Linked DNA regions of Arabidopsis thaliana. The protein of the gene in region 2 interacts with the protein of the main gene of each other region in a pairwise test. Each region holds a gene or a part of one and is shown on either strand. Other genes may lie near its edges.

What was found.
Region 1: the proteins of NF-YC7 (region 2) and NF-YB3 interact in a two-hybrid assay, tested with the Arabidopsis thaliana proteins (3 studies listed by BioGRID).
Region 3: the proteins of NF-YC7 (region 2) and NF-YB5 interact in a two-hybrid assay, tested with the Arabidopsis thaliana proteins (3 studies listed by BioGRID).
Region 4: the proteins of NF-YC7 (region 2) and NF-YB1 interact in binary tests that used the Arabidopsis thaliana proteins (3 or more experiments, as listed by UniProt).

The regions. Positions count from the first base shown.
Region 1 is NC_003075.7:8,341,727-8,350,361, reverse strand, and holds NF-YB3 (nuclear factor Y, subunit B3), read right to left. Parts: upstream 6,014-8,635; 5' UTR 5,700-6,013; coding exon 5,214-5,699; 3' UTR 5,038-5,213; downstream 1-5,037. Other genes in the region: IAA14 (indole-3-acetic acid inducible 14), read left to right, coding at 439-659, 851-1,080, 1,218-1,353, 1,666-1,783; AT4G14530 (agamous-like MADS-box protein), read left to right, coding at 6,479-6,886; AT4G14520 (DNA-directed RNA polymerase II-like protein), read right to left, coding at 7,289-7,891. UniProt on the Arabidopsis thaliana protein: Component of the NF-Y/HAP transcription factor complex. The NF-Y complex stimulates the transcription of various genes by recognizing and binding to a CCAAT motif in promoters.
Region 2 is NC_003076.8:20,552,972-20,557,415, forward strand, and holds NF-YC7 (nuclear factor Y, subunit C7), read right to left. Parts: upstream 2,788-4,444; coding exon 2,149-2,787; downstream 1-2,148. UniProt on the Arabidopsis thaliana protein: Stimulates the transcription of various genes by recognizing and binding to a CCAAT motif in promoters.
Region 3 is NC_003071.7:19,580,149-19,588,664, forward strand, and holds NF-YB5 (nuclear factor Y, subunit B5), read right to left. Parts: upstream 3,471-8,516; 5' UTR 3,273-3,470; coding exon 2,790-3,272; 3' UTR 2,510-2,789; downstream 1-2,509. Other genes in the region: ABCC4 (multidrug resistance-associated protein 4), read left to right, coding at 1-51, 135-235; AT2G47820 (arginine-glutamic acid dipeptide repeat protein), read left to right, coding at 7,974-8,516. UniProt on the Arabidopsis thaliana protein: Component of the NF-Y/HAP transcription factor complex. The NF-Y complex stimulates the transcription of various genes by recognizing and binding to a CCAAT motif in promoters.
Region 4 is NC_003071.7:16,234,748-16,244,460, reverse strand, and holds NF-YB1 (nuclear factor Y, subunit B1), read right to left. Parts: upstream 5,970-9,713; 5' UTR 5,876-5,969; intron 5,784-5,875; 5' UTR 5,777-5,783; coding exon 5,577-5,776; intron 4,881-5,576; coding exon 4,747-4,880; coding exon of another isoform or gene 4,619-4,746; exon of another isoform or gene 4,482-4,618; coding exon 4,411-4,481; intron 4,323-4,410; coding exon 4,242-4,322; coding exon of another isoform or gene 4,236-4,241; exon of another isoform or gene 4,154-4,235; coding exon 4,145-4,153; 3' UTR 4,101-4,144; exon of another isoform or gene 3,887-4,100; 3' UTR 3,680-3,886; downstream 1-3,679. Other genes in the region: AT2G38905 (Low temperature and salt responsive protein family), read left to right, coding at 1-69, 160-243; AT2G38900 (Serine protease inhibitor, potato inhibitor I-type family protein), read right to left, coding at 568-761, 1,102-1,174; AT2G38890 (uncharacterized protein), read right to left, coding at 1,813-1,950, 2,047-2,204, 2,302-2,461, 2,542-2,765, 2,919-3,065, 3,155-3,256, 3,336-3,366; AT2G38870 (Serine protease inhibitor, potato inhibitor I-type family protein), read left to right, coding at 7,411-7,429, 7,722-7,915; YLS5 (Class I glutamine amidotransferase-like superfamily protein), read left to right, coding at 9,254-9,433, 9,520-9,713. UniProt on the Arabidopsis thaliana protein: Component of the NF-Y/HAP transcription factor complex. The NF-Y complex stimulates the transcription of various genes by recognizing and binding to a CCAAT motif in promoters.

The DNA.
Region 1 (8,635 bases), on a different chromosome or scaffold from region 2:
CAAAACCTAAGAGATGTAACAATATCATTCAACAATCAACGGTCATCACTCATCACCTATACTTTTCAGGTTATTGACATGAAAGAGTGAGATTTACTAAAACAACCTACCAACGTTTAGCAGAAGGCCACGTGTTGAGAACCCACATTGCAAGAAAATGTAGGGATTCCATGCACTACAGCAGATACACAATAGACCTTTGTATTTTAATAGTTAAAGAATTAGAAAAGTCAGACGACTAATCACGGGTTTAAACCGTTTTTTTTCTACCACTATAGTATAGTACTATAGTCTCTTTCTTCGTCCCTTATATTATCGACTCTATCTCCTTACCTCATTCTTGTTCCCCTCTTATCAAACTTCACCCCCAACAAGAGTTATCGAGAGAGAGAGAAAACATATTCTGATTTAAGACATATATAGACAGCAAGAAGAGATATGAACCTTAAGGAGACGGAGCTTTGTCTTGGCCTCCCCGGAGGCACTGAAACCGTTGAAAGTCCGGCCAAGTCGGGTGTTGGGAACAAGAGAGGCTTCTCCGAGACCGTTGATCTCAAACTTAATCTTCAATCTAACAAACAAGGACATGTGGATCTCAACACTAATGGAGCTCCCAAGGAGAAGACCTTCCTTAAAGACCCTTCTAAGCCTCCTGCTAAGTAAGTTCTATTTACACAATTCCTTAAGAAGAAGACCTTCCTTAAAAGGGAAGACTTTTTTTTTTTTTTTTTGAGATAAAAAGACTAATAGTTGATATAAAAGTTCTTAAAATACATATATATGAAAGATGTAAGGATGCATAAGTAATAACGTTATTGAATGTGTGTGTGTGTTGTTATATTCTATGCAGAGCACAAGTGGTGGGTTGGCCACCGGTGAGGAACTACCGGAAAAATGTTATGGCTAATCAGAAGAGCGGCGAAGCAGAGGAGGCAATGAGTAGTGGTGGAGGAACCGTCGCCTTTGTGAAGGTTTCCATGGATGGAGCTCCTTATCTTCGGAAGGTTGACCTCAAGATGTACACCAGCTACAAGGATCTCTCTGATGCCTTGGCCAAAATGTTCAGCTCCTTTACCATGGGTATGCATTTTCAGACATATAAGTCGAATTATCATTATTATTTTTGTGTTTACTTACAATTTTTTCTTTTTAACGATACAGTTTTTTCCATATACGACTAATTAATATGATAAGTTTTGGGATTTTGATTAATTAAGGGAGTTATGGAGCACAAGGGATGATAGATTTCATGAACGAGAGTAAAGTGATGGATCTGTTGAACAGTTCTGAGTATGTTCCAAGCTACGAGGACAAAGATGGTGACTGGATGCTCGTTGGTGATGTCCCCTGGCCGTGAGTTTCCTCATTCTTCTTGCTTTCATTATTATGACCAAAATTATTCTCTAAACAAAAAAAACAATATTCTCTAAAGCATTATTATTGATATTACTTATCAAAAAAATACACAAAATGATAATCAATATCCATGTGTTATAAACACGCACAGCCATCTTTTGGTTGGCATGGGACAGAACTCAGAGACAGAGAAGATGTTTATATATAAATACTAACTCATCAATATGTTACCTCATTTGTAGCTGGCACATATTCTTTCACTTTCAATAGATTTCTAAATTTAGTCACCAACCCAAATCCCGATTTCAGGATGTTTGTCGAGTCATGCAAACGTTTGCGCATAATGAAAGGATCCGAAGCAATTGGACTTGGTAAGTTTTCTTTTCTGTTCGTTTCTATAAGTGGCTCTTTTCTGTTTTTCCAATAATGCTCGTGTTTTTTTTTCAGCTCCAAGAGCAATGGAGAAGTTCAAGAACAGATCATGAACAAAAAAAAAAGAGGACAATATGCATTGATTTTTTTTTTTTGGTATTGTTATGATCATGTGTTTTTAATTTAAAATATTGGAAGTATATAGGAAAATATAATTGTTTACGAAAAAAATAACTTTAAATATGTCTTTTTTTTTTTTTTTGAAATTAGTCTGTGTTTTTGTTTTCATCTCTTAATTAGTAGAAATCATTTTTTAATATGTAATTGTGATAGTAAATCTATAGAGTTCGTATTTTTGCTATTTAAAATTTAAAATGCTAATACTATATATAATTTATGATAGGTAAATTTACGTTAAATAATTTATCTCCACTTTTCCTACTTTATTATTCTTTTCCTCTTTATTTTCTCATTTATTGGCTTTACAGATTATATTTGAAATTTGTAACTATTTTTGATGTATCTAAAAACATTTCACATAACAATTTCTTAAGAAAACTAAGAAAACTGTTGGTATATTTTTTGACTAAAATGGTTTCCAAAAAGATTTTGAAACGAACTAAAATCTTCATTACAAAACCAATTTTAAAACTACAAAACAAATATTCATGGTTTTAAGTTTCTTTTTTCTTTCCTAGTTACGTGGGAATACGTTATTAAATTCAGGACCCATGAGAGGCGTAGGGAACAAGAGCATGTGCATATTCATGGGTCTTTCAAATTCAGTCCATCCTCTTCATGCTAATGTGCCCTTCACCACTAGAAGCATAAAAATTTTCTTTCCTTTTTGGAAAATCTCTCTGTTTCTTTTTTTTCAGTAAAAATTAAGATTTCATTTATAAAAAATATCATAAGGGGTAAAATACATATGCCGGGTAAGAAAAATAACCAGTTCAGAAGTTAAGCCGGCGAGAAAACGGATTTTCTAGAGACAAATACATATACAAAAAGGAAAAATTCCAGAATAAAAAAAACATATTAAAACTGATCCAAAACTTCCCAAACTTATCACTTAAGAACTCAAAAATCTAATACAAATTCTAAATCCAAATTAAAACAAAATATAGATCTGAGATTAGAGATCCATTCAAAGAAAATAAAATCAATATTCTTCTTACCGTAAACGGCGGTGAGACAAACCAACACCCGAAGACCCAAAGGAAAAAAATCTCATAAAGAAAGGAAGGAGATCGAGATCTTCAATGGTGAGAAGTATGCATCTAAGGCGTTGAAGAATCGAATAGATCTACCTCTGGCATGGTTGGAACGACCAGAACTAAAGCTGTAGATGAAGGAGTAAAAAACAAGCAGCAAATCCCGTAGATGAAAGGATTTAGACTTTATTGATCTAGATATGAGAATTTAGATCTTAAACCATTGGAAGAAAATATGATTCAGATCATACCAAAACAAAAAGAAATCAAAACTAAAGAAAGAAAGTAAAGAAACCTCGCTTCCGATGCTGAAAAAAGCCACTGAAACAAGTAATCTTAGGCAGCGGCGGAGAAAGCTTTTTTATAGAGAACATAGAGCTTTTATTTTAAGAGACAGAAAATTTTTTATTAAATCAAAAGTGATTTTTGAAGTGTTTGGAAAATCTCTCATTTTTCCTTCTTTTTTAATATTTTACAGAAAGTTAGTTATTTGACACAATAAATTAAAAATTATTATTAATTTCCCATTAATGAACTGAAGAATTCTAGTTACTCCTACAATGAATGATAGTTTGGATAATTGATGAAATGATTCCGAATTATTCTCCTCCCTAAATGCTTGGCATAACATCAGAATATCTAAACCATTAGTTCTTTAGTTGGTTTTGGTATGGCATAAGGTGAGAATTCCTAAACATGCTTTCGCAGTTTATAACTCTTTATTTTTAACCTCAACCCTACTATTGATAGGATTTTTTTTGAGATGTCATGTTGAACAAACTTGCTTTAATGTGGCATTGAGGGAGAATCTAGGAATTCACCACTTGCACTTAAATTATTCATTTTCAGCTCAAATCTGAAACAAAATTATGGTAAAGTTGTTGCCTACAACCCTACCTATTGAATGATTCCAGCACCATCCGCCTGTCATCAACAACTTCTACAAGCAATGACATCTCCATTGCACTGCTTCAAGCATGTCATGCGTGTGTTTACGAGGTTTGGCATAAGAGTACCACATGCATCCACAACGCCACAACTCTTTTCCAGCTTCGCTCTACTACAAAGTTCTCAATGTTGTGAGAACAGAGCACAAAGCATGGTCCTTCACGACCCAAAAAGGGTAAAAGCTTCTCCTATTGTATTGCTTTGGAATGTTTTGGAGAGATCCTTCCTATACAACTCCTTTTTGGAGTGATTTCTTGAAAGCTCTACTTCGATGGAAGAAGCACTAGCTGTACGAGCTATTATTATCATGAGTTTCTCTTTAATCTTTTGAAATTAGTCTTCAATATGGAGTCTGTCATGGAGACTTTCATTTAGGTTCGTCGGAACTTCCTATCTGATAAATTTTCAAGCCTTTGTCGTTATTTATAATGTATCGTTTCAATCTTGTTTTTAATTCTACACCGTATGATCTTCTCTGTTTTGAAATTCAATGTTGAATACAATTTGCTTGACAAAAACAATAATGGAAAGCAGTTTGGTTATTGTAGTCATGGTATTTGTTGATAATTCTTTATTTTTTCCTGATTTTACCTGGCTGATGTTTTGTTTAGTTTTTTGATAGAAACTTAGTTTTGATATTTGAGTATTGCTTGTAAGAAAAAATCTTTGAATATTTGTGGCATAACATGGACTAATGGAAAACCCAAGCTCTTAAAAACCTGGACTCAAATATGAAATTTTCGCATCACAACACTTTAAAAGAAAAACTAATATTACATGCTGTGGTTTCGGGCCTGGAGGAATTACGGGCTTCGGCCCAGAACCTCCTGAATTTCAAAAAAAAAAAAAAAAAAAAAAAAGATCAAAGATCAAAGATCAAAGGTTACGTTTTAGATATGCCCTTGATTACATCTCATGTTCCCTGCATCAAAGTAGAAAAAGTTTTTCAATGACTCTTTTTAGCTTGATGCTATAATTATATTCCCACTACAATTTTTTAGGAAACATTTTACTCTAAAAAAAATGTATGTCTCTCTCATTTGATTTTTCCTCCTAATTCAACCATAAACTTCGATATCCTAGTTTACTTTTGTTACTTTCATCTTTCACGAATAAACACCCTAACCTTCTTTTATTCTTTTTTTTTGAAAAAAGTAACACCCTAACCTTACGAATCATAAATTTAATATTTATTTTGTTACGTTAGTGGGTTGAACCTAGTTTTAAAAAAAAAATTCTGTAAACATTATACTAAAAGTTAAACATATATATATATATATCATTAATTAATAAAAATGAAAATTTGCTTTTATCATTTTACAATTAAGAAAAATGATGGGAAAATTGATGTCCCATCGTAGTCACCATGCCACCACCGTACATCGGAGCTCCTCCACTTCCACTTCCAGCTCCACCGCCTCCTCCTCCACCTTCCTTATCGCCTTGTCTCCCTGCCGTAGTAGTCTTCTCTCCTTCCACCTCCCTATACTTTTGCAGATAAACCTTGAGAGGCTCCACGTAGTCCTCAAACCCTAGCGTAGTCATCGCCCAAAGAAGATCGTCACCGTTGATTGTCTTCCTCTTCTCTCTCTGACACTTGTCAGAAGCCTCACCGGTGATGAAACTTATGAATTCCGATACACACTCTTGAACCGTTTCTTTAGCATCCTTAGAGATTTTTGCGTTCGCAGGAAGTGCTTTCTTCATGATCCTGCTAACGTTAGCGATCGGTAGAAACCTATCTTGCTCACGTGTCGAAGCATTTCCACCGTCTTTGTGTCCTCCTGAATCGTTGTCCGAATCCGCCATCTTTAGATCGAGGAGACAAAAGGTCGAGAAAGAGAGATAGATGTTTTGGGTCCGTTGGATCAGAGAGGATAATAATCGTATCGTGATGACACGTGGGTAGTTATAGGTCGATTGTTTGTCGATAAGATTATTACAAGTGGATGTTATTTGGATAGAAAAGGAAGAGAGAGACTTGATAACCGGTTCTGTTTTTTCGGTTTGCCTTTATTATAAAAGACTCTTGAGTTCTGGTTATATATGTACTTTTGGTTTTTGTCGTTTATATCATGAAATCAAAAAACAAAACCCCTAATTCAGATTTTATTAAATTGATTTGGGCCAAAAGAAGACAAAATTTTGAATTTCCTCTTGCAATGGGCCTGATACGGGCCTAGATCCCTCCTATAAAACCACCGACATTTTTATATATACAATTGTTTCTAGGTTTCTTGTTACATACACTATCTATAAAGAGAGAGAGGTAGTGTCCCTCAAAATCTCTGTGAAATCAAAGAAAGCAGAATGGGAGGACTAAAGAGAAGAATTTCGATTGAGAAGATTCAGAAGAAAGAGTCACGAGCCGTTTGTTTCTCCAAACGTCGTACCGGTCTTTACAGTAAAGCCGCGGAGCTATTATGTCTTCTCTCCTCCGATTCACAGGTTGCGATCTTGACGACTCCTTGTTCTTCCAACTCTCACGTCTCCTTCTACTCCTTCGGCCATTCCTCTGTTGATTCTGTTGTTTCCGCTTTCCTCAAGGATCAGGGTCTTGTTCGTAAAGAGAATCTAGGGTTAGAGTTATGGTGGAAGACGAGAGTCTTGCTAAATCGGAGGATTCGGAGGAGTTGAGAAAAGCGATTGAGTCGATGTCTACGATGTTGAGAGATCTGAAGGAATTGGAATCTGTGAATAATTATCGAAGAGATCATCAAGAGGACGTCAAGATTAACAACGACATCAAGATTAAGAATCTTGTTTCACACGAAACCCTAAATCTTCAGTTAAGTTCTGCAACTTTTGGCGTTCCTGATGATGATCGTCTCAAAGAAGAAACGGAGATGGTTGTATTCGATGATCAGATCTTGGCGATTTTTGAGAGTAACGACAAACCTACAGGAAACTTGGAAGATCAAGAGATAGATCTTGATCAATTCCTAGATTTTGATCAACTCATAGATTTCGAGGGTTTGATCGATGGCGATTACTAGAGCACTCAAGAGTATCCAGAGCCTGCTGAGACTCGTCTTTTGATGAATTCGAAGATGGAAGATGTCTCGATGGTGATGAAAAATCCAAATCTGTGGTCTGATTCACAGAGGTTTAGATGAAAGATGATCCTTTTCAATGAGTTACCACACCATTGATGCAGTTTGAAGATAGCTCAGCAACTAATTTTCTTATATGCTTTTGTATGTATTAGTATTATATCAATATGTAACTCTGTCGGTATTGACCAATTGAAATTAATAGAATGTAATTGGTTCTGTCAACTTTGTTTACAAATATTTCTTGTCGATCCAGTTTAACACGAAACAACCCCAACGAATCTGAGGTTAACCTAAAAGCAAAAAAGTATCTAAAGACTTTTAACTTTTGGTGCCTTGTTTGGGTTACATGTATGGCTCATCTGACCCTGTAAGAGAGATGGGACCAAATGAACCATTGCCTTCCAAAGTTGCAAGAACATAATAGTCGTTTCTTCTCTTGTGTGGTCTCTCTTTAAACCGCACAGCCAACACCTGAAACCGCACAACAACTCCAACAGCAATCTTTGAGAGGTCGTCTTTCTGAAAATGCGGTTTCTCGTCCTCCGACAATGGTGAGTGGACATAATGATAATGTGGCATTTTCAAGAGTGAGAGGTATGCGTATCTGAGTGGTCCTGACCTGATAAAAGCTCCGTTCCACAACACTTTTTTTACAGTCCCTTGCAAGATATCTCCTCTTGCAGGCAAGAATGTGCGGCATGTGAAGGACACCGGGAATGTGAGGATTTTTGCTTGATGATTGTTTTCGTTGTCGATGTTGTTGTTCTTGTTGTTACCGATGCTTTTTAGAGCGGTGATGCCGAGATAGAATCCGTGTTCCCTGCACGCTTTCTCGTGTATTAGATCTTGGAGTAGTCTGCATAGAATCGGTTGGTGCGGCGATTGGCCATTCAAGTGTTTGGCACATATAGCCACGTCTCGAGCCATTTCTACTTCTGAAAACATTCGTGTTTATCTGTTACCTGAAAAAAACACAGGAGATTCTAAGTTGAAGGATGAATCATAAAATCCGCAACCAGAAATGATAACCATCAAGCCTTAATAAAGATTATAAAGCAGTATAAACGCAGGTCATAGGTCATAGAGAAAACATAACGTTTAAAGCAACGAAGCAGATATAAAATGTTTTGACGGCTAAATAGATTGAAGTTATATAGCATTGAACCTTATATGGTACCTGCATAAGAAGAACTTAGTTACTGATCAGCCCACTCAATTCTACATCAGAGAAAAGGAATCAACCAAGAGACAAAATTAAGAGCAAAGTACTCAAAACTGAAACTGCTAATTTTACATCAAACAAACAAAAAAGGTACTGAAACTGCAGTAACAAGACTAGAGGTCAATAATTTCTGAGAAAATCACACAACCTGAAGTGATCTCAACAAGATACAAGAAGATATATGTTGCACTTCTCAAAGAAAATCACATTAAGCTTCCAGAGATATGGGCATTGATCCACGATTCAGACAAGAACTAGCTACATAAACATATGTAACTGTCTCAGACAAGAACTAGCAACATAAACATATGTAACTGTCTGATCTCCAAAAACTTAAAAGAAATATCTTTTTGATTAGACAAACGACCATTTGAAAAATCACTAAACCAGTAAATGAAACACACACTTATGTTATTACTCCGCCATTAGAACCTCATTTACAGTGAAACCCAACATCGTAAAAATCA
Region 2 (4,444 bases):
GTTACAACTTCCTCAACTAAATGTTTTGGTTACTCCTCAACTTCTATTCAACGATGTAGTAGATAATTTATCTATTTGTAAAGAAACTTAAGTCTCCAGCATTTGAAACTAACAGAAAGAGTGTGATTTTATTCAGATCATCAAAGCAATGATCGCCATATGCATATTCATCTACTAATACTACTAGATGGTCATGTTTCTGACAATAGAATAAATTTATACTGTATCTGTAGGTCTTGAATGATTGTTTGAAAAAATTTCAATTGTTGAACAATATTGTTTTTCTAGGATTTTATGTCTCTTCCTCCTTTATTGCCTCCTTATCTTAACATAGAGAATACCTCAGTTTTTCCTCATTCTCTTTGAGATATGAATTGAGTGTTGCATATTCTTTTGAATTTTATCCATTCTGAAAATCTAGAAGCATCCAAAATTCGTTTCTTCAAATCTTCAAAGTGTTTATCCTTTTTTAAGGAATACATATTGTTTGTTCTACATATTTTATGCCTAACAACTTGCCTTCACTCTCCATTTTCACAATAAAAATCATAACATTTTTTTTTTTGAATATATTTGGAAATTCAAGTCTTTAGGTCCTAACATTACACACTTTAAATTCAAAAACATAACTTGAAAAGTAATTCAAATTCTCACGAAAGCGGTTAGAAATCTTAAATTACAAACCACACTTCAGTTTTTGCCGTTGTTTCCTCCATACTCAAAATCTTTAGTTGGTTTTTTTAGAAACTCATAAAACGAATACATTTGAAGTTTTAAATAAGAACTTTTTCTCTCTAAATTAACGGTAACTATGGTACTCCCATTGTTTAAAAAAATATGATGTTTAAACACAAAGTTTAAATAATTAATTTATCTTTTTATATATTTTTTCTAAATTAAAAACATAATTTAATATTTAGTTAATTAAAGTGAGTTTGGCCAATGAAATTCGTTACTGCATAATATATATATAGTCATAAAAGTATATAAATTCTACGCTTGCATAGAAATTTGAATTATTTGTCTAAAACATCTTATGTTAAGAATCAAAATAATTTGGCTAAAACAACTTATAATATAAAACCGAGAAAGTAGTGTTTTGGAGTTTTTATTTATGTTTTCTGGCTACTCTTTAATGTAGCCATTTAAAGTAAAAAGAAAATGAAACCAAGTATATATATAAGAGTGAGGACCCTTTTCATAAACAGAAGGATTTATTGCTTCTAAAAATTAAATTGTCTAGATTGTTTTCTATCTTTTCATAAGAAGAAAGATTTATTGCTTAAAAAAAAAGTAAATATTCAAAGATTTTTTTTTATCTAATGATTACGAAGTGAAAATATTTGGTTTTATTATGTGGCTCCTAATTGGTCGTTACGAACAATGTTTGTTTTACGAACACTTGTTATCCACAACAATTTTCAAGGTGTTCCACAACTATATTTTCAATAGATCTTTTACACATTAGATGTTCATATCTTGAAAACGAAATATACTATGTGAGAAACAACTCATGCCAAATTGAGAAAACTGGAATAATATATCAGCGGTTTGCAAGTAAAATTTCGTTGCATAATAAAACCGGAGTATAACTTTCACGCGAAAATCCATTTTAAAATCAAAATGCTGGAAAATTTACGAACATAGATTCGGGATTCAAAAAGATCTCTTACTAGATCCTAAGATCATGATGCCTACATATTCACAACGTATACAAAATTAATACCATGAGCCATGGGGATTTTCTACTTTCATAAAGGATAACTAGAAGATGGAGCTAGTAGTATATGTTTTTTATGGTAATTGACATTTATGCCTAGTTCATTGTGTTTTTTCGTAATGAACTGCGAATATTTTGGTGATTCTTTGGCATAAACTAATCTAAAGCAAAGAAGAAAATAAGAGTTAACTAAAATTCCATTGTCTTCCATTTGCTTTCGTTAATGCCATGTGTTTTGGTGTTGTTGATGTTATGTTTAGTCTTCTATGTGATATTTCACATGGAAGACTACACATAACACCAACAACAACAGAACACATGACATTAACGAAAGCAAAACATAATAACAACAACAACAACAAACATGACTCGATAGAGATACAAATTCTCACAAAAGCATTACAACCCTAAAACCCAATCAACACTTTTCAATTACCGCCGCTGCTTCCTCCAATTTCCCCAGCTGCCTCCTCTCCGTCACCAGGCACCGCCGGCCACTCCTGCATCTGTGGCGGTGACGCGTACACACCATTACAATCAAACACCGGATATCCTATCACCGTTCCCGGAGGAAGTACTTCACCGTCCGGATGTAGCACGGGATCATCGGTAACGACGGAAGGGTCTCTTGGGACAACGTCGCCAAGGAAGGTAAATTTGAAACTACGAGTCGTTGCGGCGGAGATATCGGATCTCGTGAGCGTATCGGATCTCTTGAGAGTTTGGCGACCGCCCTCCACGGTATGAAGCCACGATCGCATTGTGAGATCAAGAATGAGCATCTCACAGGCCTTCGATATAAGGACCGGAGCCTCTGCAGTGACCATGTTCACTTCCGGGTTGGACTTCATGATTTTCTTTATCCTGGTTAGTGGAAACGCATGATGCTTAACATCAGTTGCGTTTCCCATCTGCGCAATCCAATAATTCCGCATCTGCGGTGAGTACGGCAGCGGCAGTGAATATGACGGCAACGGCATTGATTGATAATACAATGGTGGCGGCGGCAGTTGGGAAGACGATGGTTGCGGCAGGTAGTGGTTGTTGTTGCCGTTGTTCTCTTCCATTTTGATCTTTACGTTTTTCTTGTTCACTTTCTAGGCTAGGGTTTCCATATTTAAAGGCTGATTAAGTGGGCTACGAAATCAGCCCAACTATTTTCTCAAAAATAAAATTTATTTTTTATTAATATTTTGTTTTGTGTTATACAATATTTACTAATATATGTGAAATCCCAAAATACAAAACCTCACTTTCTATTCATTATAAATTTTTGTTAACCAATACTTTTTGGATTTTATAAATTTTAAAACTTATAAAATTTAGATAAGGTGAAAGCTATTAGTCAACTATAGCTTTAGATAAGGTGGATTTTATACTAACCAATTTAGGGAAGTATGTGAAAGCTAGCATATGAGGAATGTCGTCAATGGTTTTGTGCCCAAGATCTGATTAGTCAAAGAAGAAAACTATAAGTGGTGCCTTGGAGTGGTAATTAGTGGGAAGATACCAAACTGAGAATTTTCTAATGCGCAATGGAAAGTATGTGGAGTTTCCGCATAGATAAGGTGACTTTGGCTTCGAGTGAAAAAGCTATAGTTGTGTACTTAAAATCCAATGCTTGGCCTGCTTCTTTGTGTTATCATTCTTAGGAGATTGCAAATATTGTCAGCATTTCAAAGATGCAAATATGTATGTCAATTTGTCTTGTGCATGAGACCGATCTAATCTGAAGCATTAATTTAAAGGTAGCAAAGGAACATGTTTCATCATTCAAAGATATCTCAATGCAGATAACAATTCCAAATCAATGAAAACACAAGTGGTGGAAAGAGATATTTGAATAGATGGTTTTCGCGCCAAAGTTCGTTAAAATATCAAGCTTAAAATTTAAACATCCAAAGATATTGTTTATGTAAAGAATATGTTTCTCTTAACCTTAGATATTATTTTTAAAGGAAATAATTACTACTTTTAGGGCCGGTCCAAACATAATTTGCCGTCACCTGTTAAAAAGAAATTACAAAAGTTAGGAAATTAGGATCGAACTGGTCACCTAAAGCGGATATCCATCAACTTTTCGGAAATAAACTTTTTATGAAATGATGCGCCTATATATTTATATAGAGAGTTCTTTGCCTAAAACCTTTGTTTCATGAGATTTTTAGGCTTTAATCGAAAGTCGAACCTGATTACTTGAACAAACGAATCATGCAAAATCTAGAAAAAACAATGATGAGTTCAACATTTGGTGTGAAATTTAGTTAGCTGGATAAAAGCAATCAAACCAGATTATTTTTTATTGATATGGAGTTATTGAAAACATTTATGCATAGTCCTTGTGATGATAATCAGCCCCATCCCAAATAAAATTAGAGATGTAAGGTTACCCAATTTGTTTTTGCTATAAAAAGCTTTATTTAAAAAACAAAATCAGGCTTATTATTTTTAAAACAAAAAATGGGGTTTTGAACTATAATTTTGGGCTAATTATAAGTTGTTTTATAAAATATGGGTTTTTTATATATCAATTTTACTTCAAAAATAAAAAAAGTCTTGACCCTCACACCTTACGACTCACCCATTGGGTCGAGGTTGATGATAACAAGCTCGGCCCAAATAGGATGGGCAAAAGGGCAGTAGCCCATGATTCCATGATTTTTTCTGAATTATTTTTTAAAAAGGCCATATTTTATAAAAAAATTAATTTGACTGAAAATATCT
Region 3 (8,516 bases), on a different chromosome or scaffold from region 2:
ACCGGATTCCTACAGTGATGGACGGCGATCGAGTCCTTGTCATTGATGCTGGTAAGACTTAAAAAAGAAACAAACTTGTCATGTTTTCAGTTTTACAGAAATACAGAGTTGATGAATTATGGAATTTTGAACAGGGAAAGCGAAAGAGTTCGATAGCCCGGCTCGCTTGCTGGAGAGGCCGTCTCTGTTTGCGGCGCTGGTGCAAGAGTACGCTCTCCGATCTGCCGGAATATGAATCTTTTACGCCGGCGGGGACTGAAAATATTTTAAAACCTTCTTCAAATGAGATTTGTATCAAAGAAAATTCCTATAATCTCACATGTTTTAGATTCAAAAACGACATCGTAATTTTAGTGCAGCAAGCAACACAGTAAATTTTTAATTCGCTCACTATACTTCAAACAACTCTCTAATAACAATCCAGTAATCTACCAACACGTGAATTTTTCTCTATTCGTTTCTATTTGCAAGATATTTTAAAATTTATATGTTTTTAACATGAAAAGCATCAATTAATTAGTTTTTTAAAGTTAACTAATAATAAAAGAATAGTAAAAATACAGCATATATTTGAGGCAAGGGAAATAAAAAAATTACATTTCAGTTACACTTTTTAAATAACTTCAAAGAAAATGAAATAAAAAATAAATAATTATAAACATCTTATGAAAATAGACTAATAGAGTGGAGCAGTGTATTTTATTATATTGAATATTTTGTATCAAATACATTTTTTGATGGATGCACATGATCTATATAACTTCAGAATTTGCGTGAAACGGTGATATGCGTGAAATTGGAATCTTTGGTTTCTTCAAGGTATAAGTTAGTCGTTTTTGAGAATTACTATGTAGCCTATGATTGGTCGCTCTTCTTCAAACCTTTTTTTGTAGTACTTACTAAGAAAACAATTGCTACATTTTATAATATTATAGAGAAAATTTAACACAGTTAATTGATGATCAACACTAGTGACACAACTAATTCACCGAGATTTTCAGCATGTTTTGGTTCTCGGTTTTTTTTATACCAGAAATCACTTCCAAGACCTTGCATATTTGGATTAACACGACGTCACTAGACAGTAATACACTATTGAACTCCTCACTAACCAGCTTCTCGCTAACACACACGAAAACTTGAGATCAACACCATCGTGCGGAATCATCCACTGCAAACAACATCAAAGGAGATGAAAAGGACCACCAGATACAAATTCAGCTTCATGTTGACTCCTCTTTGGAGGAATCATATATAGCCGCTTTTGGTTCATTATGTTCTTTTCATATGCTATTTTTATATCTTAATTACAGCCCTAATTAACATTCAATTATGACCTGTGTGTAAAAGCCTCATTATGATTAATATATATTTATATTCTTTAACAAAAAGAATCCGTTGAAAACACATTCTCTTTCTCTATCTCATTAGCCAAAATATTTGGCTCCCTCTAAACAGCCAGTTAAATCTTAAATAACATGATTTCTTTTTATGCATCATAGTCCTGTTTTACAACGTCGATATATACCACCTCTATGATTTATTATAGGCCAACACATTAACAACAATATTTAAATTAAGATATATCTCTTTTTAAACTTAAGATTCTATCTCAACTTAACATTTTTTTATTTGGTCAAACATATCAACCAATACATAACATCTTTTGAGAAGGCGAAAATATTTGCTTGATATCAACAGCTGAAATGGTATTAACAAAAAAAAAAAAAAAAGAGTATAATGGTCAAATTGAAATTTGGAGTAAAAAGTATACGTTATTAGCGTGAGTCAGACATGTATAACTTTCTTTATGTGGAAGGTCCAGGGATCTTGTGTTAGTAAATAACATGTGAGAACTGATCTGGATTTATGGACCACTCGCTCTTAACTAATCAATTTAGCCCATTTTTATTTCTTAGTACTATATACTGTTTAGAAAGTGAATCACGTCGAAAATAGAATTAATCTATATCGACATAAGGTCTAAATATCAATTAGGCTTTAAAGAAAACAATATCGAAGTAGTAAATTTTATTTTTCTATATGATGTGTACGGAATAGCTAGCATTTTAGTGTGGATAAATGAATGCGAATAATCTATATGCAAATGCCATAATCTAAAAATATATCTAAATACTGAAAGTCGACTAAGTTTCGCTTTTTGTCGAAAGAAATCAATTGATTTAACTGAATAAGAATTCCACAAACTACGAAATTGCAAAGTTGATTTCTTATATATAGAGGGTTAAGTAGTCTAGATCAGAGGAAAGGGACATGGTAGTATATATCCTCACTGTCGAAATTAATCTACAAAGTTGATGATATATTAGTTCATCTTCATGATTGACGGTTTTAAAAGTTAGATGGTAAACAGTTAAAAACCGGTTTGGTTGGTTGTGGCAGGACTTGTGTTGTTGTATGATGCTCGATTTAATTTTATTTAATTATACCAGTCGAAAATTAATTAAATCTGAATAAATTGTTTAAAAAGCATTAATGAAGCAACCAAAAGAAAATCCCGAAAATGGTTCATAATATACACATCGATCGATCTCCACTCCAATATATGTAAATAAATAAAAATATAGAAAATAACAAAATCAGCTGGAAGAATTAACACAGATTTGTTCAGTACCTCACACCACATACATGTTATATCATCATATACATAAAATTTATTTATATATGTAGAACAATATATGAGAAGATAGAAAAAGATAGCTGGTCCTAAAGAGGAAGATGATGACATGGAGATTAATCAAGGAAAATCAAAAAGCGATGGAAGAATTTTAATTATCTGGCGAGGATTTAGGTCCTCCTTTGCCGTGATGATTAGGTTTCTCACCTTCGAGAACTCGGTAACGATGTAAGTACTTCTTGAGCTGGGCGGCGTAATCATCAAACCCTAGATTAGCCATAGCCCAACAGATATCGTCTCCATTAACGGTCTTTCGCTTCTCCTTGTGGCATTTATCGGATGCTTCTCCCGTGACGAAGCTAATGAACTCGGACACACATTCTTGCATAGTCTCTTTGGCTTCTTTAGAGACCTTTGCGTTTGCTGGGAGGATGTTCTTCATGATCCTTCCTACGTTTGCTATCGGAAGTAGCCTGTCTTGTTCTTTTACCATCATGCTTTCTTCTTGCTGTTGATCCTCCACCACCACCACTAACCCATCATGTTCATGTTGATGATTAGATGAGCTGCTCCCGAAGTTGTAATTCTGGTATCGAGGGATTGGATTTTGGAACGAATGATAATTCCCCGCCATCAGAATCTTATAATTAAAGCAGAGGATCTATAAATCTTGTTTGGTGAGGGGTTCGTTTCAGTATGATTCACAACAACGAATGATGATATAGAACGAAGATATGTAATTTGCCAAACTATATGGCACACAGAAAAAGGAGAGGTTTTAACATAAATGTGTTTATTATGTATACATCTAAAAAAATATTCGTTTTGACAGAGAGATTTGTGTAGTTAAATTAGCTTTATATATAAGTAGAAAGGCAAGAGAGCTAATTAAGGAGTATCTATCTATGTTTGTCTGGTCAGAGAATGGTGGTGACGTGTCATACAAACCAATGAGAGTGGTCTAGGTCACAGGGGAGACAATGTGGCAGGTCTAGCTAATTTCTCTCTCTCTCAATTTTCTTCTAATTATTTTCTCCTAAACCCTTTTGGTTGAGTTAAAACAATTAAAATGTAATCATAGAATAAGATGTGTTGCAAACAAAATAATGTTGAAATGTGTTAAGAATATATAACACATATATCATTCCTTTAGTAGTGAATTATCTCGCCTTTGGGAATGAATATGATATGATATCCTCAACGTACGTGAAGGCGAAAATAGTTTGGGGTTGATGACGTACTTGATGTTACCCTAAAAAGGAAGTTTTGGTCCTCCTGCTTAAGTCAATACCGTCTATCTGTGGATTGACTCCACACTCCAGTTAGTCTGGAAACTCTCCTCAACCAAAAATTATTCAATTATTCCACATTCCTCCTTAAGAGCTAGTCACTTTAATAAACGATAATATCGAACTCGTGGACCATATAAAAGCACGTCTTGTGGTCTATAATTAGTAGTCTGCTTGCCAAAATTGAAGAGGCTATAAATAATATTTGGTTGAATTATATTTTCAACTACTTATTAATAATGTTGTTTTAAAAAAAAAATCGTTTTTTAACTAAAATATTTTATATTTTCGAACTGAGGAAATACATAATTTTTTGTTTCACCACACTTTTGATATATATATTTTGTCAACACATTAGGTTTTTCTTATCCATCTAGAACTCAATCTCGATGATATAACCTACTTTAATCAAACTACCATTTAAATTCTATGAACTTTCAAATCAAAACTAGTTGGATTAATAATATATATATATATATATATATATATATTTCCTCTTATATGTGATTTTATGTTTTTACTTACTTTTTACCAGTATTTAATTATTAGACGAAATTTAGTTTATATCCGCAAAACAGTGATTTAGTTAGTTAACTAGCTATTTATATTTTAAACTTTAATTTATTTTGATTGGCTATACAGCATTATGTAAATTCTGCATTATATTGAGACGAAAACATTTACAAGCTTTGTCGCCTTACTATGGATGAGAATAATATGAGCTGTTTAGCAAAACATTCCCATTTATTATTTAAAGAAGTAATGTAAAGATAGATTTATAAATTACATAGAGGATTTTACAAGATTTTGGAGAGCATGGTGTTCTAGAAGTATGATATGTTGGCTATTATTTTATGTTATTTGTTTTCCCGAAAAACCTAAGTCATTAGTTAAATATTACAGCTACATATACATATATGTAAAATCATTAACAAAGTGAGGACAAGTGTCGACCGATGGTGGATCGGACCACCTTGAAACGGATAAACAAATGTTGAACGCCTTTAGATATTAATTAATTATTGAACGATGCATGATGACGTTCATAGCATTTCTATATTATAAACAGTAATTATTAGTATTACTTGCTCATTAACTTGGTTCTCTACCTCCTAATCAAAAGATGAAATTGACTCGTCATAAATGGTTTCAAACGGTTTAAGGTTGTAATAATGAAACTAGCTAGGTCATATGGTTGCATATGGAAGTTTATTTTTCGAATCCTACACCAAAAGTATGTTTAGTAGAAAAACTAATGATGCGCCTTACTTAGTTACTTAGATAAGAATTACTACTAATGAAAAACTGTGTGTATATAATATGTGTATTTGCTGGAATTTCAGGGAGAAAACATATAAAGCATTAATTAGTTGTTGAAACCATGAGAACGTGAATATACAAATCTATATAGTACAAAATTTAAGATATTAAATCCTAAAGTTGGTCGATAAAATAACACCTTTGTGAAATGTCCTCTCAAGTATGGCTTGATAGAAAAGGAAACGACTAGTGATTTTTTAAAGTTGTTATTAAGGAATATATTTTCGATTCTCCAATGTCTAATAAAATAAATTTAATTAAATTGAATTAAATCGCAAACGCATATATTTATTCATATCGTCGAATAAAAAAGCTGGTATATATAGTCATGCAATTATAGTAATCTAATTAACTAAGATCAGCATAAGCAATATATATATATATATATATATATATATATATATATATATATATATATATATTTGATGGCATTTTTATTGCCCACTTGTAAAGATCGAGTATAGTGAATCTATTAAGCGTGCGAGTAGCTTTGTGCGTGGTCCATGCTGAATTAAACATTGTTTCAGTATGTTTAATACAAATTGTTAGTCTGTCTTTAATTAGTCTTGTCTTTTTTCTTTTCTTTTCTTTTTGTTGTTATAAGTTTTCTCTCGTTATTCGCCAAGAATCCAAACTATATATACACATTTCAACTGGCGAGATTGTTTATAGTTACTTGTGAAAAATGTTGACTTGACCCAGACCCGGGAATGTATTTGGAGTTTGATCACTGGGCTTTCGCATATGGGCCAGTTGATCGCCATGGCCTGTTTCCCTCGGTCTCCACTACGGTTCATTATCCCTAAGTAGCACAATATGCTTGGACAGGAAAATAAAAAAGTAGGAGCATTGTGATGCTTTTTGTGAAACAATTGGGTCATTATTTGGGCTAAGTGAAGAAGTATTAATTAATTAATTAAAAAAAAAGTTTGGGCTGTGTTGTGTATATGACGCGAATGATGAGAGGCAGCATTGGGTCATTATTTGACTTCGAGGGTGGTAATTCGCTTAGCCTCAATTTTGGGCTTGAAATGAAAATAAGCCTTTGAAGTTCAATTATTTTATTCTAGGTACCCAAACAAACAAACAACTATATAAAGAAGATTATTTGGCTTGTACGGAGTTGTTAGACCGTCGTCTTTATTTTTTTACTTTTTCTTATTTTAGACACTTGTGTTATTTATATATATCATGACACCTTAAATAATAGAAGAAAAATAAAAGAAACAGTAATTATCTAAACCAGTTTTAGAGATAAAAGTTCATTCTTGGGTGGTCAACGCAACATGCATTGGTTTAAATTGCGAGTCAAAATTTGACAAAAAGTTTTTAGAGTTAGAATAGTTAAATAAAATTCTCAAGTATTCTAAAAATTAACATGAAAAAGAAGATAAAAATTAGTAAGAGAAAGTATAAATAGGAAGTAATTAAACACGTACGGAGGCTAAGTGAAGAAGAAGTATTAATTAATTAATTAAAAAAAAAGTTTCAGTTGCCACGAAAGCGAAAACATAGTAAAATGACGGAAACAGGGTAAAGGAAGACGAAGAGACAGTTGTAAAGACAAGGTTAATTCAGGGATTTTCCATTTATCAGAGAGGCCCATCTAATCTATCTATCTCATTCTCTCTAGTAGAGAAGAACGCGTGTTCTCACGCTCTTATTACATTTTTCATTTCTTTTAAGGAATTTATTAACCCCCAAAAAACAAAAAAAAGCGTAAGTAAGATCCATCGTATTCATATGCAGCAAAACACACACATTTACATACATATATATATATATATGTTGTGATTCTCATTTTTATTTTTTATTTTTGGGGTCGCTCTTTGTTGAGAAAGTCTGCGACAGAGAGAGGAGAAAGAATTTGGATGTGTTGATGCTAAAGCTGTGTGAGTTTTACGAGAGCAGAGGTAAATCTGAAAGCTCTTTCCTTTCGACCACGTCTTCCTCTTCTTCCTCCTCTTCGTCTCCGTCTTTTAACGCGACTTGTCTTTCTTTTTTCTTTCTTTCTTTTTATATAATATTGCTTTATAAGTTGTAATTTGTTTTGCGCTATCGGTCTCGGCGTTTCTTCTTCTTCTTCTTGTTGTTCGTATCGTTACCTCTTCCTTCACACGCGAAGTTGACATCTAGATTCAATACATAGATTGGCTCTGCTTTTTGATTTTATTGCTCCACGTTGAATGTTCCGACTTCTTCTTTCTTCTTCTTCTGTGGAGGTTTGTTGCCAAAGTCTTCCTATGTGACTATGTCTTGTCTTGTATGCATACTACTACTAGCCTCGGCTCTTATGTTCAACAATTACTCCTTTCTTTGTTTTCGTAGCCATACGAATCATGTATTTTTCATGAATTGGCGTGCCTTCCCTGGGTTTTTGTTGTTTTCTTATGAATTGGGTCAGTTTCTGTCTTCCCTAGCTTTTAAAGCTGGTTTCATTATGGTTTCTAATAAAGAAAGAAAAACGGCAGCTTTAACTTGGGTTTCGGAATCGTTTCATTCAATGTTGGCTCTCTTCTTCTTCGTGTCTTGTGACTTTGGAATTTCATCTGCATTCTCTTTCAATCTTAGGGTTTTTCTGTATTTGGGGATGTCTTTTGACTCCTTCAACCCCAACTTGTGTGTCGTTAGAGAATGTTGATTTTGGATGTGTGTTTGGCTCAGAAACACTTAACAAGCTTCCCTTTTTTCCAATGCTCTAGATTTCTTGGTGGTGACTTACTCAGATGGAGCCTATTCATTCAGATGACATGGAGGAAGCTTTTGTCGATGAATCCTCTATGCTATTGAATTCCCCTTATCTTAATGGTATTCACGGAGACCCTGATGTACTTCCTCGCGTTGGAGATCAGTACCAGGCTGATCTACCTGTGCTACTCACTGAGTCTGATCGTCTAAAGCTCATTACTTGCTTTCATTCAGAGCCTCCCCTGCAGAAACTCCTTACTTTTGGCTTGCCTATCCCTCTTATGTGGACAAGAAGTGAGAAATTCAGAGGTTTCCGTGAAGCCGATATTGATAAAGCCAGTCCACCAGTCGATGATCAATCCTTGCAGAATGCTGCTTGCATGAAACCGAGGAGTATTGTGCTTGCATTGCCTTGCCAAAAAAACGCCAAGTTCAAGTTTGACTGGCTCGATAAGACCCTCTATCCATTCCCTGGGACTTTGGGTCAACCTTGGGAAGATGCTGAGCAAGAGAGGTTTCTTCTTGGCCTCTACTGTCTTGGCAAAAACCTTGTCTTGGTGCAGAGATTTGTTGGGAGCAAG
Region 4 (9,713 bases), on a different chromosome or scaffold from region 2:
ACTTTCTTGGAAATTATTCTGGCGATTCTTCTACCTCCCGTCGGCGTTTTCCTTCGATATGGTTGTGGGGTAAGCACTAAATTACATCTTTACTTAGTTTTATGATTAATGAATGAATCGTTAATTGATTATTGATAATTAATGTGTTAATGAATGCAGGTAGAGTTCTGGATCTGTCTCTTGTTGACGATACTGGGTTACATCCCTGGGATCATCTATGCTATCTACGTTCTTGTCGGATGATGACCAAATTCTCTTGTAAATTTTTCATAATCTTTATTTAGCCTTTGTTGTTCTTTTCTTATCGCTCTTTGTAATAAACAACTCTTGCGTTTTCGCTAAATAAAATACTATTTTTGCTTAGTTCCTAAATCACCAGGGCTGCCAAAATATACACCACATCATCCATTCAAATGCGTTATATGATCGGACACCAGAATCATTCAAGCAAACAATAGATGTTACATTATGACCAACCAACCAACTATGCATGCATTATATATAGTTTCATTTATTCATAGTAAGGCGCCTACATGGCTATAGCATAATGGTGGTCCATATACATGTCTAGCCGGCGGTTGGGTTTCTGACAACGATACGGATTTCGTCAACCCAAACCCTAACGCGGTAGCAACTGAGGTCTTCAGTCACATAATTTCCATCCGAAACCACGACAACGTTGAGGCTCGAGTTCTCTCCTTTTATCACCGAAGCCGCATAGTCTCCATTTGTTCCTAAAAGCTCCGGCCATGAGTTCTTCCCTGTGTGTGGTCAAATCAACCACATCAGATTGGTAAATCATTTGCATTTGGTAAAACAGTAGGTCCAACGGTTATTATGGAATCAAACTATATATCCCTACTAATACTATATGGCTCTCCAAATATCATATATTGGGGATTTGTTGTGTAATCCATTGTTATTCAAACAATAGATGAAACATAAATCTGTGTCAATCGATAAACAATGCATGCTCCAAATTATAATTAATTTCCTCAAGAATGTGCTATGTGAAACTGACACATGAGAATTAAATAATAGTAAACGATTTGACGTGAGCGAGAAGAGAAAAGATTAAAGAAAATCGATAAAGGGCGGTACCAATATCAAAGAATGAAAAGTAGAAATTGAGGATGAAAGACGAACCAATATAACTACACCACTCGGTTGCCATTTTTCTTCCTCTTTTGTTTATGTATATTGCGATGATGTGATTGTTTGCTATGATTGTCCTCAGGAATTTGAGTCCAATTTATACAAATACTAGGATGTATGCAGATGTCTATGGGTTTGTATAACACAGAGTCAAGTTAGTTTCATTGTGTTGTCCTTTGCATTAGCCATTAGGTGTACCATATTTTCTTTGTTAGATAACACGTGCATGGTGTAAAACGGAGCGGTTCTTCAACTTTACTATTATTTAGTAGAACATTAACTTACTTTAAAGGAAAAAAGGATTTATACTAAAGCTTACTTAATAAATACTCTTACGAATTAATATATATGGAGGTGCAATCTCAAATAACAAGTTATAAGGTATTTTGCAAACTCAACACAAAATTATGGCTTTTTTTATAACAGTTCGTAACTCAAAATATATCTGATCGATCCGATGATCCGACCAAAAACTCATTCGGTTAGTTTTCTGCTCCGAAATGTAGAACATTCTTTTTTTCGGGCTATTTCTTAAAGCAACAAAGGAAAAAAAAGGCAGCTACTACAACCAAAAGAAAAGAAGACAGTTGACTTATCCAACTCAACATGCAAACGATGCCTTGTAACGCACCCAAGACATATATATCATTGCCCGTTTCACTTTCGTGTTTTGCGTTGTCCCAGAATGCTGCGGTTTTCTGGTGTAGAAGAAGTCTCAAGTTTGGATTTGTGTCTTCTTCTTCTGTTTGCTTCAAGAGCATTTGGTTCTCTGTTTTCTTTCTCTCCGTTCTCCTGCTGTAACAAAAGTTTGTTTTTTCTTCATCATCTCAGGAATCTTACATTACAAGATATTTGCTAGGTTCAATAAAACGAATTTCTTAGGAAGCATACCGAGTCGAAAAATCCCATCTTTGGAAGTGGTAACCTCAGACCAGAGTAGGATGATGTCAAGTCCTTGACTGCGTAACTTGAATACGATGACCTTATGTTAGATTTCGATCCAGATTGTTCTTCAAAACCATGATTCTTGTGTTTTTCCTTATTCCTCTCTTCAAAATAAAACAAAGATGTGCAACTTTTAAAGATGTTTTGATTTTCTTCTCGTTTTGAAGAAAGAATAAGATGTATCATCAATCATGTCCTCACCGAGTTCACTTGCAACACATTTCTTCTCGCGTATAGCTTGACTAGGAGTCAAAGATTTGGAGATGGATGATAAAGAAAAAGAAGAAGAAGAAGAAGAAGACACTTTTGGTTGAGGAATGAGACTCAAAGGTTGAACTTTCTGTTTGTATCCTTTAGTCCTCTTGACAAACAAAACCAATTAATAAGTAAAATTTAGATGAAAGCAAATGATTGAAACAGTTTCTGAGGTTTTCCGTTTACCTTTATACCATCTGGTAACTTACGATGGGTCTCTTGAGTTACTGTCTGCTTCACATTCGGTGAATTACGTAAAGAGGCTCTCAGGTCGTGGAACAGATCAAACTCAATGCTGGCCACAGAAAATCTGCTTCCTTGAGTTGTCGTCGTATCAGCAGACTTACGAAGCTGCGTGTTACTGGTGAAACCATTGTTCACAAGACACAACTCCTCAGCATCAAGAACACCTTAGCATAAATATAGACAATGTCAGCCTTGAATATACAGAGTCAAAGCTAAATTATAAGGTTTGATTGTTATATATGAGAGGAATAGTGGAATAGTGTGAAATAATTGACTAATCAAGTAGGGTAAAGAACTTTGAAGTAAAAAGATGAGACCTGGATCGGTAAAAAAAGCATTGTCCCAAGCAAAACTTGGACGAGCATCGGTTTTCGAAGGAAGTGTGTGATTATGATTTACTTCAACTTCAATCTCATTCTCGTCAATCTTTAAGCTCCCAAACAATTCTTCAGGATCTAACACTCCTACAAACCAAAGTGGTAAAATCATTGGAATCATATAATTTAACATTTTGTTTCTACACAAAACCAATCTATAGGAAATAGGAAGAAACCAGGGTTGGTGGAAAAAGCAGTGTCCCAGGCCAAGCTTTTGCGATGGTTCCATTTGCTCTCTTTGTGTGCCATCGGCTGCACAAAGTCAATCTTTACTCTTGCTGCTGCACAAAGTATAATCAGTTTCTGAAGACTAAAGAGATTTTAGATAGGAGAGGAAACAGAGGAAGATGATTCTACTTGATGATGAACCAGCTTCTTGAAATTCCATAGCCTGTTCTTGATTTTGAAAAATAGAATTTTCAAATTGGAAAAACAACAGCCTTTATTAAGAGAATTTATGGAGAGACAAAATTTTGAAATTTGTAAGTTTTCGTGATTTAAGCATTTGATTACTCTCTCAAAGCTTTTCAATTCAAAGCAAAATTAATTGCTGCCTTTACTTTGTGATTTTGTAAGTGTAGTATTTGATACAGATCAACTGACTTAAAATGTAATTGTCTATACCCAAAACAAAGGTACTGTACAAATTTAATTTAAGGATTTTGTATTAAATGAGAATAAATTAGCTATGAAATTCCGAAAGTGAATCGAAAATAACAACAGGATGTGGACAAATTTTTCCTTCATTCAAGTGTTCTCAACATCTAACAGAGAAATCTTTAAATACAACCAACTAAACCGGAAACAATAAACCAAACGTTCAAACTAACATAACCGAAATTGAGAGTAAACCCGAAATAGTTGTCGATCAGCTCAACTATAAACAACTCACTGATCTCTAATTTCCCCTGCACCGTTTTAGAGAATTTCACGTTAGACAAACAATTTTGAAACTAGCCATAGTTCATTCACACAGCAAAATATAACATGATCAGCAAGTTTACAAGGCATGTCCTACTATCATCAGTTGTAACGAAGTGAAGATTGGATATGAACCTACATGCATATAGACTATGCTCTTCATTTGTGTACATGAGGCCGTGTGATAGAGAGAAGAATTACTTGATCATTTGGCGATTGTTCTTAATCACTACTTGCAACTTCTTTTACCAGCTCTGTGATTGAATCAAAATGATGAAGTCAGAGCTAAGTACAATATAGGCTGTATAGCATTGGTATCATCTATACTTGTCAAAATCATACCGGCATTTCTTCACCAGAAACACCGCCACCAGCATCTCTATTTGATCCATCTCCACTCTTTCCTGATCCCTTATTATCACCCTATCATAATTTCACAACAAAACGTAAGAAGCCAATGGGCAACACTGGAATGGAATATAAAGTAGAAATAAGTATGTGGTTTATTTACCTCCAACTGCATCAGCAGGTGGTGTGTCAGCAACCAATCCCAGGGAATGAAAAGAACCGAATTAGTCTCAACTTAATAAGAAACATTTTGATTTTATTATGTATGTTAACAACAAAAGCACAAAAGAGAGAGTAATAAATGTCTTTCAAAATTTACTAATATGCATCCTGACTGTTGGTCTAGATTTATCTTTCTTGCTTCAAAAATTCTACACAAGACGTATTGAAGGGATTGTAAAACTGCTATCATGGCAAGCTTCGATGTTACTCACAGCTACTAATCTCTTGACTAGGATATTAAGGATTTCAGAACACATGATTAGGGAGTCAAAGCAACATACCTCCCTGTACCTCGCTAGGTATATCTTTAGAGGTTCCAGGTAATCCTCAAATCCTAATGTTGCCATTGCCCACAACAAATCATCACCATTCACAGTTTTCCTTTTCTCTTTTTGACACTTATCACTGGCCCTGATTAGCAGAAACAGATACCAGTCAATTGGCCATTACAGTCAACGAATCAACATAAGACCAGCAAAAGAGACTTAAGCGCAACATCAGACAAGCTTATCTTGAACCAATAGATAAATCATAGTTTCATACATGATAACTTATTTCTTCCTAACAAAGAACGGGGGCATCTGATGTTATAAGAAACATAAAACTCATCAATCAGAGACCTAAAACGCATTCAACACAAGCAATTCCTTCATGATGAAAAACATATCTTTTGCCTTAAATGAACAAAAAGGAACAAAAACAAACAGATCCTAAAGATAAAAGAATCTTTGAAACATGATCAAGATACGGCTTTTATACCCTAAGATGGTTAAATGAAGAAAAAAATCTAACAATTTATTTGACAGAGTTAAGATATAACACAGTAGAAGCATGTGAAATAATCTGCAAAATGGTCTATAGGAAAGGAACTAGGTTAAGGTAAACCCATACCAAACAATGGTTGATTAACATTGTGACAAAAAAAAAAACATAATCTTTGCTCTATAAACTTCAAAAAACTCTCTGAGCTAAACTCAATCCATAGCTAGTTTAAGAAAACTATCTCTCACAAACCCAAAGTTCCAACAAATGATCAATTTTTTTCACCAAAGAGCAAAATATTTTCCAACAAATTCGATTGAAAGAAGAAAAATTGGGAATGCATACTCGCTAGTGATGAAGCTGATGAACTCAGAGACGCATTCCTGAACTGTATCCTTAGCATCTTTTCCAATCTTACCATTAGGAGGCAACGCTTTCTTCATGATCCTGCTGATATTAGCTATAGGAAGGTATCGATCCTGCTCCCTAACGGAACCGCCGCTTTCTCCGCCATCTCCAGCTGGGCTCGAAGGCGTATCCGCCATTTATACTCTACAGAAACAGAACAAACACTCAATTTGAAACCTAAACATGGTCGATGAAGCTAAAGTAAACAACAAAAAAGGAAATCGAAAATGGCGTACAGATTGGGGAAGATGGAAACCCTAGAACTTGGAATTGGGGATAGTCGTTTTAGTTTTAGGGCTTTAGAGAAATCGAATTTTTCTACGAAACGCTGCGACTGGTGTTTATATGATATGATTACACGTTTTTTTGTATTTGTTCTGTATTAGCTTTTGTAAAAGTTTTCAGACAAGGATTAATTTGGTAATTAATTAGACAATTTAAGAAAACTATATGAACAATTTGACTAAGGGTGACTTTTTCAATCTATTGTATAATAATTAGATGAGAATTTAAACATAAATTCATTTAATTTTTCAATGAATTATCTACGTAAATAAATCATAGAAAATTAAGATACTCTAATAACAATACCAACGACAATGTGGATTCAAAGTGCCTAAAGAACAAATTCTTTTACTTATGTAAAAAATCCTAAACTTTAAAGAACAAAAATTAAAATACAAAGATAAGTAATTAACATTTTATTGGGCTTCTAACTGGATTTGGTTCTATTTATTTGGGCCTACGTTTGAAAACCTCGGTCTTAAAGAATTTGTGTCCAGCTCCAGCACAAGGAGAGGCTTATAGACCATATGTCTTTTGGTGTCTGTTTCAATGGGCTTACATGTTTTGTTTTCAGGCGGCCTCGTCTTCTTGACACACACAAGTTTGTAACATTGGGCAGTGTGAAACATACACAAAACTAAACACTAATTAATTCTCAACCACAAATATTTAAGTGTGATGGTGACTTGGTCTCATATAATATGTGATTTTGTAATTTTGTTCGAAACCCGCATATAGAGTTGTTACCAATTAATACCTAAATCTTTATTCCGGATACGTGCTTTTACCAATCTTAAACAGACCAAAAGAAAAACTATGACTAAGTTGAACTGTATATACGTGTTTTAAACTGTATATACATATCAAATTGAATATTAACTATATGACAAGATTATCAAACGGGAACAAAAAAAAAACTATATGACTAAGTTGTGATGTTGTTTGTCAAATTTTATGTACGTCAACAATTCAACATAATTGACATTATCGTTGTTTGTGTGTGTGACAACAATTGATTATAGTATTTTTATACATGAATTTTATGAAGGACAGTTTGGTCATTTTTGTCGGCTAAGTGCCAAATTTGGCAGAAGCGTTTTTTTGCATGCAAACAGAATTCAGTCGACGCTAGAAATATTTTTCACCTTCGTTTGTTTTTCAAATTTCGACATTATCTTAGCCTTAGAAACCTTATCTTGTTCTCGATAAGGTTTGAACATCGTGATATAAATATGTACATTTCAAAGCTTTATAAAACAAAATCAGAAGTGTCAAAGCTTTTACCAAACAAATTAATAATGTCAACGAAGGGGCTATTAAAAGCTGGTTTCGTCAAAGTTTGACTTTTGAATCTGCAACCTCACCGACGACACCGACACCAAGACGTAACGTACGTATCCGATTCTATAAATGGGACTCAAATCTCTAAAGGTGAGCATACAAATACATCAGAAGACTACATAAATATATACAAGAGTGAAGAAAAATGTCGACCGAATGTCCTAGTAAGTTTTTGTATTTGTATTGTATAGTTCATAATTAAAGTTTTATATGTTTGTAAATAGTTAGCTAATGTTCAATTAGATATGGATTCAAGGCATTTAAAATTGTAATTCAATAGCTATAACATATATGATTACATTTTCTAAAGTCTGTTAGAAGGTTAATTATGTTACATATGGTCAATCCATGGTGATGTTTCTAGTTCTTTTGTTTTCATTTACTCAAATATGAGCTTCTTGATCTCCAAAATCCCAAACGTAAATGATTGACCGATCTAACGTAACGTGATCGCAGGGAAGAACTCGTGGCCGGAGCTTACGGGAACAAATGGTGACTATGCGGCCGTGGTGATAGAGAGAGAGAACCCCACCGTCAATGCTGCCGTGATTTTGGATGGGAGTCCGGTGACCGCAGACTTCAGGTGCGACCGGGTCAGAGTTTTTGTTGATGGAAACCGTATCGTCGTCAAAACCCCCAAATCCGGCTAGACTTGTATAATTTCTATATTCATAATGAAAAAGCTATAGACGAGTCGTGGTTGGTTAGTAATCAATCATGTAAAATAATAATCGTTTGCCTTCATAATTTCTGTGTTACTGATGCCTAAAGTTATGAATGAAAATAGTATCCTATATTTCAATTTGTAATGTTTCAATTTTTTTTTGTCAGCCAAATTTTTTGATTTAAAGTTCAAAAGAACAGATTGTGATAACGATTTCTAAGAGAAAAACACGTGTGGCAAGTGGCAACGTGTAGACAACAAATGGTTGAGGGGAGAAGGAGCACCCCGACCTAGTCCTCCGCCTTGAAGCTCTTCCAAGCAAGAATCAGGAAAACCAAAAATTAGCAAATAATGGATAATGGACCATTTCAAATAAATAAAATAATAAGTGAAGTACAAATTAATAAATTAAAGCAGGCCTGTTTTGCTGCCAAAATAAATAAATTAAAGCACTTATGATATATACAAATTTTAGAAAAAGTCATATGATTAACAAAATTTTACAAGAGTATTTTAAGCTAATAGACCGTTTAGTGACTAGTGTGATCATCTTGTAGAGGTCTATTACACGTGTTAGTGACTAGTGTGATCATCATACACATGAATTTTTCTACAAAATACACATGGATTTTTCTACAAAATACACATGGATTTTTCTACACATACACATCCCAGAAGCTCTCCTAAATCCAAGCTTTCCACAACCCAAGGGTCCCATGCATAGTCTAGGTTTATCGAGGCCCAAGCTTAGCTTATGCATACATGCTCCTTGTAGCCAATATGCTCTAGAATCCTGACTCCACAAACATGAGATTCATGTAGCTCAAGTTCTCCATAGTCCAGGCTTTGGTAAACATGGCTACATATCATTCTTTAGATTTTCTAGATTCTAGCTTCCGAGAGACCGTACTCTGAACGTTAACTCACGAGTCATGTGCATTAAATGAAATACATACACGACGTTTTGTATACATCACATTCAATCTACCAAAAGTATTATTTTACACCAACCAAATGGATGTAAAATAATACAAAATGGAACTATTCAACATAAGTATACCAATTCAATGTCCATTTCATAAGTATACCAATTCAGCCACATATAATAGTTAGCAGAAACTACATACCATTCAAAGTTATAGCTAGTTTATATATTTGTAATAAGGACTTTTCACCAGTTGGACTTTGAAGCCACCAAAAAAAGTAGGTGAAAGTGAGTTGGTGGGGGGATTCAAAAGTTCCACATGACAAATAGATAATCAGTATAAATAAGATTAGTTCTTCTTATATTGTCTTATTCAATGCACACAAACATTTACCCAAAATGGCATCGGCGGTTCAGAAATCAGCGTTGCTCTTATGTGGAGACTACATGGAAGCCTATGAAACGATTGTTCCTCTCTATGTTCTCCAATCGTTTGGGGTTAGCGTTCATTGCGTTTCACCCAACCGCAACGCCGGCGATCGCTGCGTTATGTCTGCCCACGATTTCTTGGGCCTCGAGGTTCCAATTTTCCCACTAAAACGAATTTCGAACTTTCTTTTTCTTTGTGATAATTCGCTTAATTTTGTTTTTCTGTTCTAAAAAAGCTATACACCGAGCTTGTCGTTGACCAGTTGACTTTAAACGCAAACTTCGATGACGTCACTCCGGAGAATTACGACGTCATCATCATCCCAGGAGGCCGATTCACGGAGCTTCTCAGCGCCGACGAGAAATGCGTTGACCTCGTGGCGCGATTCGCCGAATCCAAGAAGCTGATCTTCACTAGCTGTCATAGCCA